Linked DNA regions of Bombyx mori. The protein of the gene in region 2 binds, or shares a complex with, the protein of the main gene of each other region. Links are inferred from orthologs where the notes say so. Each region holds a gene or a part of one and is shown on either strand. Other genes may lie near its edges.

Region 1 (3,659 bases), on a different chromosome or scaffold from region 2:
AAGATGAGTACCCGTACGTTGTGACGGTCGAGTTAAAACTCACGAATACTACGACGAACGCTCTGCTGTGCTCGGGGTGCGTGCTGACCCCGACCTGGACCCTGACCACCGCGCGCTGCGTCTCCAAAACCGAAGACTTGCTAATCCAGGATCCGAAGATGTCATGGGTGGTGTACTATGGACTCACGCAGAAACCTTCCCAGGACACCGCCATCGCGATCCTTTCCGGAATAGTCCACCCCAGATATGCCGCGTCACCGAGAATGCTTCACAACGACATCGGCCTTCTGCGCACCGATCCCATCACCCTTAAACAGTTCGCCAAATTGAGCGCCGTTGACATGTTCTCTATGAACGGTTACGAAGTTGAGCTAATAGGCTTCAAGTCGACCAATGATACCAGTGGAAAATTGAAGAGAACTCTACAGATTTCATCGGTTGTGGTGAAGACTTGTGAAGGCACCGTTACTTATCCGGGGATGTGTTTGGCTCGGTCCTGCTCGTTGACCGACGCTTGTCACCAGGAAACTGGAGGTATAGCCATCCACAGCACCGGGGTCATAGCACTCCTGGCCAGTGGACGCAAGAGGGACTGCTTGGAGAACAATGAGAGACAGCAGGCCTATCAAATTGAGACAATGACTTCAATTGTGCCATATATAGATTGGATTCATACTCATATCAAGAGCTAATAGTAGCTAGTGTAAGATTGGTGTCAGAAGCTTCAGTGAACGGATGAAATTTGTATTGTTTTCTCAATAAAAGTGTTTGTTTATGAGCTTTATTTGTATTTAGCTTTTAAAAGCAATTAAAAATGCTCAGTTAACTTGATGATTACCCGCCTTTAGTTAAGCCTGCTCACTAAAGTATTGATATTTTACACTGACTAACTTTGTACGCTTCGGGCTTGTGTTGGATCAATGTTTTATCTTCTCGTTATTTTACTTGCTTAGCTTATACTGTTGTGTATGCACAAATGAAAGATTCCAAAGCAGACTGGTTTATTTTTGCATCTACCCGCCATTTTATAATGCGATTTAATATCTATACATAACACTTGTAATAAAGGGAGGTGGCGGAATTCATGGAATTCATTTGGTGAACTATATCTGATGTTTATAGGTTCCGTGAAGCTGTTGACCTGGAGTTGGCCATTAGTTTGTTCAAATAATTGTTCCATGCTCTCTGCGACATACGCCTTAGTAACTTCTTACTGCATTTCCAAATAGTAAGGAAATTGTATAATGGTAAACATGACGTAATAGCTTAGGTTATTTGAAGATACACTTTTTTAACGAGCATAATAAGAAATACTATTGCAACATTCTCTTCGAAACTCGTTTAAGATACTCATTACGATTGATTACAATTCAGGTTAAAGGTCTACTCCCCGACGAGGAGAAAGAGAAAATAGGTCCGAAGCCAGTGACCGGGGCAGCCCAGAGCCGGGCGGGGCGTCCCCCCGCGCCCCCCTCTGCCCCCCGCGCTGCTCCGCCTCCCCCGCCCCCGGCACCGCCTGTGCTGCTGCAGCCGATGTCCTCGCTAATGGTCCTGCCCCCCATGGCGCCCCGACCTCCGCTCATACCGGCTCCAGTGGGTACGTATACTCGAACACTGCACACATTCCGTACAACATGGCGCTAAGATCGCGTGCCTGATTTACTGGTGCCGGACAATGTACATGTAGTCTTAGGGAGTTAAGCTACAGATTAGAGGAAGAGTTGATGGAATGATAGAGTAAAGTGACATCTGAATGTGATCGCTGTGAGGGGATCATATGGTCAAAGTGTTCTGTGCAGGGGACCGACCCATCGTGGGTCGGTGAGTATCGGCTTCGGTCTGTGCACCCACGGTGTGTTGGACCCCACCTAACGCCAGTTGAGCTGTAGATTCGCGTGCCAGTAATGCATGCAACTATCCAAATATTGTGTGTGCTTCTTGCATAACACATCCGCTCAGTACATTTTGTACCAATAATGTGATTGCATCGCCTTAGGTGCAGTACCACCGCCGGCGTTCAACTTCGGAGCGGTAGTCCCTCCGGGCACAGTGGCGGAGCCCGAGGACGAGGGCCCGGCCGCTAAGAGAGCCCGCACCGAGGACGCGCTGGAGCCCGAGGGCGCCTGGCTCGCGCGCCACCCCGGCGCAGTCCCCCTGCAGGTGGGCTACCAGTAACACTACAATGATTGCTCTTACGCTAACAAACATTACAACTACAAACAAATAGAAAATCGGTCCAGTGTTTTTTTATTTTTTTTTATTGCTCAGAGGGGTGGACGAGCTTACAGCCGACCTGATGTTAAGTGGTTACTGAAGCCCATATACATCTACAACGTAAATGCGCCACCCACCTTGAGATATAAGTTCTAAGGTCTAAGTATAGTTACAACGGCTGCCCCACCCTTCAAACCGAAACGCATTACTGCTTCACGGCAGAAATAGGCACGGTGGTGGTACCCACCCGCGCGTATTATTAATATACCCCCAATATTAATATGTAGACAGAAGTGCTCTAATTTAATACGGTTTTATTAGCTTCATACGTATGTTAGTAAGTAACGGAATCTTTGAACATGATTTTGACCCCCTTCAAAACGTCAGATTGATTCGAAATTTGGCATACTTATTAAGGACCGATTAAAATTCAATATTTTAAACAATTAGACTCGTTATCCTTACTAGGATAATCAGGAATAGCGATTTTTTGTTTTCCTGAGACCCTGAGTGTCTGCGTCAAAACCAAGATGGGAAACCACCAGGCCCGCTGATTACCTATTTCTCGGATAAGTTACCGACTGTATCAGATGAAAGTTTTGAAATATTGAAAAAAAAAATTAATAAATTAAAATTCAACTAAAAAAATAGAAAATAAATTTTAATTAAAAATAGTCTAAGAAAAAATTATATTATTGTAAAAAAATCGTGGGGCGCACTGTATCAATAGTTATAAATATTTTATGAACAGATATGAGTAGAAGGGCTATTTTGATAATATACTGAAAAGCACCCGTACCTCCTACGAGGTCTCCGCGCTTAGGAGGCGCGCGGGGTAGGTACGTGGGACTGGTCCGCGACTGCGAGACTGCGGGCCCAAGGATGTTTTCAGGGCCCTAGAGTGGTGGTACCTACCCGTGCGGACTCACAAGACGTCCTACCACCAGGAATGCATTATGTTAATTGTATGATATTGTACCCTAATGCCCTTGTCCCTTGTGTCGGCAGGTGTCGTTGCCGGCGGCGCCTGAGCGCGCGGAGTGGCGGCTGGACGGGCGCGCGGTGCCGCTGACGCTGCCGCTGTCGGCCGCCGTCGCCGAGCTCAAGGCCATGCTGCAGCGCGCCACCAACATGCCCACCGCCAAGCAGAAGCTGCACTACGAGGTATCCCGACACGCTCAAATACTCGCATAGCTCACCGTAACAAATGATTAGCCATATTTTTTCCCCGGTTTTGACAGACCATATTAGCGTCAGGCGAATAGGTGAGCTCATGGGGCTCAAATCTGACGTTGTTGCTAACACGAACCCTAGCAAGAGCTGTGCTTCGCAGAATCTTCCATCAGATAATATATAAGTATTGTTCCAGGGTCTGTTCTTCAAGGATACTAACAGCTTGGCGTACTACAACGTGCCCCCGGGTGCCGTCATACAGCTACAGATCA
Region 2 (4,279 bases):
TTTATGAAACGTCGTACAAACATTATCAGTGACGGTGAGTAAGCGCTGCTTCGTAAAGGCAGGTACTAATTTTTCGACCCGAACCAATCCCACGATGAAAGATCCCAATATTTAGTACTAATATCTGCCAACATTATAAATTCACGTTACTTGTAATAATTACGATACATATTAAAAGGCTGTACCAATATTATTACATACTGTAAAAAAATTATCACAAACCAACCGCATGTACATGGGTGTGCGACAGATATTATGCGATTGGGTGATCAGCTTATAATGTTCATGTGGATGACGGGATCTAGGTTGAGATGTCTGCTCGGTAATTCCTCAACAGCAGGTAGAGTTTTGAGCTCGTCTGCCAAACGGCATTAATAAAATAAAAGATACAAAACATAATGCAGGGACAACACATAGCACAATTATGGCCTTGCAAACCATTATGCACGCAGCGATTCTACTTGTTTTTTTTTTTAAAATAGATTGATCATCGGAGTAACGGACCACTTGGTGTTAAGATAAATCGATTCCCTCGCCCACCTTCGTACATGATGTACAAATCACAATAAAATCTATCCTTAATTCCGTTCAGAAAACGCTCTGGCGGTACCTAAATAAATACATAATTATATATTTATATGACCAAAGGTACAGAAAAGGTACAGTTACAGTTACAGAAAAACAATACAATTTTCCATTAGGCTTAAGGACTCTAGAAGATGTACAGCCTATTCGCCAATTCTCAAGAAGACAGCAGGGTGCCTCACCTTTGGACTGACAGGCGCTCACTGGGCAGACAGAAAAAAATAATTGCGTATTCGCTCAGCTATCAAAAAGCAGAACGGATAGGGAGATTTGTCTACTGCCGCCCTACCGAGGAACTCTACCGAGATTACTGAACCGAGGCCTTAGTCAGGACATTGTATATCTCCGACGACCTTTCAAAATCAGTCGGAAATAATTACGTTGGAAGCACGTTGCATTGCATTCACTTTATGATTTGGCCCTTTTTTCACGTAACAATTTAACACAAAGTGAGCGGTGAGCTCGATGTCTGTAACTAGGAAGAATTTGAGAGAGAGATCCTTATCAAATCTCTAGTGAGATTAGATGTGTCTTAATACGTGTAATTCCGAATAATTTAAGTAAATACATTTAATATAACTGTATTTTAACTAAATTAATTTTGATTTTATTATTAATAAAACTTTTGTTATTAATGAACTAACATTGAAGCTTTATTATCTATTAAGGTAAATTAAAGTTATTTTTATTGTCTATTTAAATATCTCATTGCATGTTATGTGGACTGCAATGGACATCTATTGACAAAAAATAGCCGTTGCTCATTCGTTGAAAGCCTGTGCTACAAGTTTCACTACCCAACAACAGATGGCAGAAAACAGCTACTAAAATATTTCTTATATGGCAACATTCCTCTATAAAACTCGACGCCATGATGCAAAATCCTCTCATTTGATTGGTCCGTGAAAACGAAGCTCAATGGCGTGCTCTGAATCCGCCATTTTACCGGCAACTGCTTGTGCCGGTTCACCCGTGAAAATTAAATACTGCATCGAGCCGCATTGCGGCCATCAATTGCTAATATTTAAAGGTAATCTTTTAATTCTCTCGTTTTGCTAGACTATGATGCATTTCAATTTGTATTTGCACTAGGTATCTCCACGATAAATTATATATTAATCGTGGTCGTTTTTTCGGTGCTATAACAGAAAGCTCACCCATTCGAAAGCACAAAATCCTTTCTGCTTTCGTCAGTTACGAGCCCTACATTTTAATTCCACACCTCTGTTTCAGTTGCTTAATTATTTGAAAAGATAAATTAACTAACCTAACCCGATTTATTTTCAGGGATAGGTTAAAATAAGATCACGATGTATCTCTACAATTTAACACTGCAAGGTTCATCTGCCATAACACATGCCGTACATGGAAATTTCTCTGGAACTAAGCAACAGGAGATTATTATATCACGTGGCAAAACACTTGAATTGTTACGGCCAGATCCGAACACGGGAAAGGTCCACACATTAATGAAAATTGAAATATTTGGTGTAGTTCGGTCTATTATGGCTTTTCGTCTAACCGGAGGAACAAAAGGTAAGTAAACTTTGGCCATGTGACCATGTGGTCCATTGAACTGTGTAGCTTATCTCTTTTAAATTATCTTAATCCCAGAATTTCCTCTCAAATCCAATATTTTTACATTATATAAGATCGAAAATAACACTGCATCATCTTGCTCCATGTTTTTTATAACACAAAGAACATGGGATAACTAGATGCACAAAATATGGCCAAAGCGTCGCTCCTTGCATTTTCTCAATGTTGGGATGTACCGCAATGGAACAAACTAATCCTAACAGATAATGTGAACTTTTATGACTCTTGACTTTGTAGCATGCTTAACATGATAGATTATTGCACACATTATAAACGCAAAAATAACCTAAATCTCCAAAGTTATACCTAACCCTGAACTTACGAACAATAGAACACAACATTAAAATATAGAATTTTCTGCAGATTACATTGTGGTTGGTTCTGATTCTGGACGTATCATCATTTTGGAGTACATCCCAACTAAGAACATTTTGGAGAAAGTCCATCAAGAAACATTTGGTAAATCTGGCTGTAGGAGAATAGTTCCTGGTCAATATCTATCAATTGATCCTAAAGGAAGAGCTGTTATGATTGGTATGGACTTTTTCATAATACCTACCTCTTGAATCAATTTTAGTTTTGGGTTCCAAAAGAGTAGTTTTGGAATGCTGCAACTAAAAATTACAATTAACCTTTAGCACTGCTACAAAGCCATAAGACTTTCTTCTCGTCTCGAAAATCTGCCAGAGTTGCTGATATTCAGTGGTACAAAACGTGGAGTATTAAATTCTAATGCCCGTATCTTTAGACGTTTCGTCAAATAGTCCTCTTAACTCATCCGATGATGCTCGAGCATTCCTCCCAAACTTACTCGAGTTTGGTATTTTTAGTCGACCATTACAATATTCATCAACTGTCCTCGAGTGAGGTAATAATGATTAAAATTTGATCAAGCTTGACTTTATTTATTAGGTAGTAAGCAAAATATGACTCTTATGTAGGTAAATAAGGAGTTTCAAATATCTAACCACTAGTCTAAACAAGAGTCTAACCTCGAACTATTTACTTTATTAATAAAAATTATCAAAATATGTGCGAATCATGCACAGATCCAGGCCATTGCACAACAATATCATATATTTCCATTTGCGGTCCACATACTATTTGGAAATTGATAGAAAACCAGTCTTGAGGAACGTTCATGGTACGTCGCGACGTACCTTGACTTGACAGTTCGCTTACTTCACTCCGATTAGGAAAATTTTCCAAGGACGTTTGAGTGGAGTTTATTTTTACGACTAAGCATACCAAAACGCGCGTTGGAGGTTGAGTCGAGTCAAGCTCGTGTAAACGACTAAAGATACGGGTGTAAGATTTGTTTTCTCTGATTTTGGTTTATTGAAGGGAAACTAGTATAAGTTTACTTAAGCACTGTTTGTGCATACAATTTCAATTGGACCTTTTGTAATTTAATTTGTTTGTACCTTTTAATGTATACTGTAAATTTTTATTGGCATTTATGGTGATGTGAACCAATAAACTGGAAAATATAATTATTAAGATAAGTAATAATGGGACTCTAGTTATGCCACACATGTGATGCATTGATTTGAGACCAAAAATCGCACATGTCTTTTTTTAAGGTGATTATCTCACTCTAAAATCGAAAAACAGGTTTACTGTTTTGAAAACATCAGTAAAAAGATATAAATATCTTAATTCCAATGATGCTTGGTCAATCACTAACTTTTGGTTATCTCTGAAATACTGTCATTTACAATACCATACAATAAAAAAAAAAAAACAATTTTCACTGTCTGATCTTATAAAACTGCTTTTTGTACTTTGAATGGTACAATATTAAATTCATTACATTCCAATTTATTTGCTCAAATGAAATTTACAAAATCAGTACTCAAAGTTTATTTAAATTTTAGGTGCAATTGAAAAACAGAAATTGGTATACATTTTGAATAGAGATGCAGAAGCTCGACTAACAATATCTTCACCACTTGAAGCTCACAAGTCAAACACACTAGTTTATCACATGGTTGGTGTTGATGTTGGATTTGAAAATCCCATGTTTGCATGTTTGGAAATTGATTATGAAGAAGCTGATTCAGATCCTACCGGTTAGTAGTAATTTGTTAATTGA

What was found. Proteins that work in one complex are often made in the same cells at the same time.
Region 1: splicing factor 3B subunit 3 (region 2) and splicing factor 3A subunit 1 share a complex: the UniProt entries of both Homo sapiens proteins name them as parts of the 17S U2 SnRNP complex. The link is inferred for Bombyx mori from reciprocal best matches to the Homo sapiens genes SF3B3 and SF3A1.

The regions. Positions count from the first base shown.
Region 1 is NC_085112.1:2,362,205-2,365,863, forward strand, and holds part of splicing factor 3A subunit 1, read left to right. Parts: coding exon of another isoform or gene 1-692; exon of another isoform or gene 693-1,374; coding exon 1,375-1,597; intron 1,598-1,996; coding exon 1,997-2,160; intron 2,161-3,222; coding exon 3,223-3,378; intron 3,379-3,583; coding exon 3,584-3,659. Other genes in the region: transmembrane protease serine 3-like, read left to right, coding at 1-692. UniProt on the Homo sapiens protein: Component of the 17S U2 SnRNP complex of the spliceosome, a large ribonucleoprotein complex that removes introns from transcribed pre-mRNAs.
Region 2 is NC_085117.1:14,815,527-14,819,805, reverse strand, and holds the start of splicing factor 3B subunit 3, read left to right. Parts: upstream 1-1,454; 5' UTR 1,455-1,615; intron 1,616-1,872; 5' UTR 1,873-1,895; coding exon 1,896-2,121; intron 2,122-2,547; coding exon 2,548-2,718; intron 2,719-4,061; coding exon 4,062-4,256; intron 4,257-4,279. UniProt on the Homo sapiens protein: Component of the 17S U2 SnRNP complex of the spliceosome, a large ribonucleoprotein complex that removes introns from transcribed pre-mRNAs.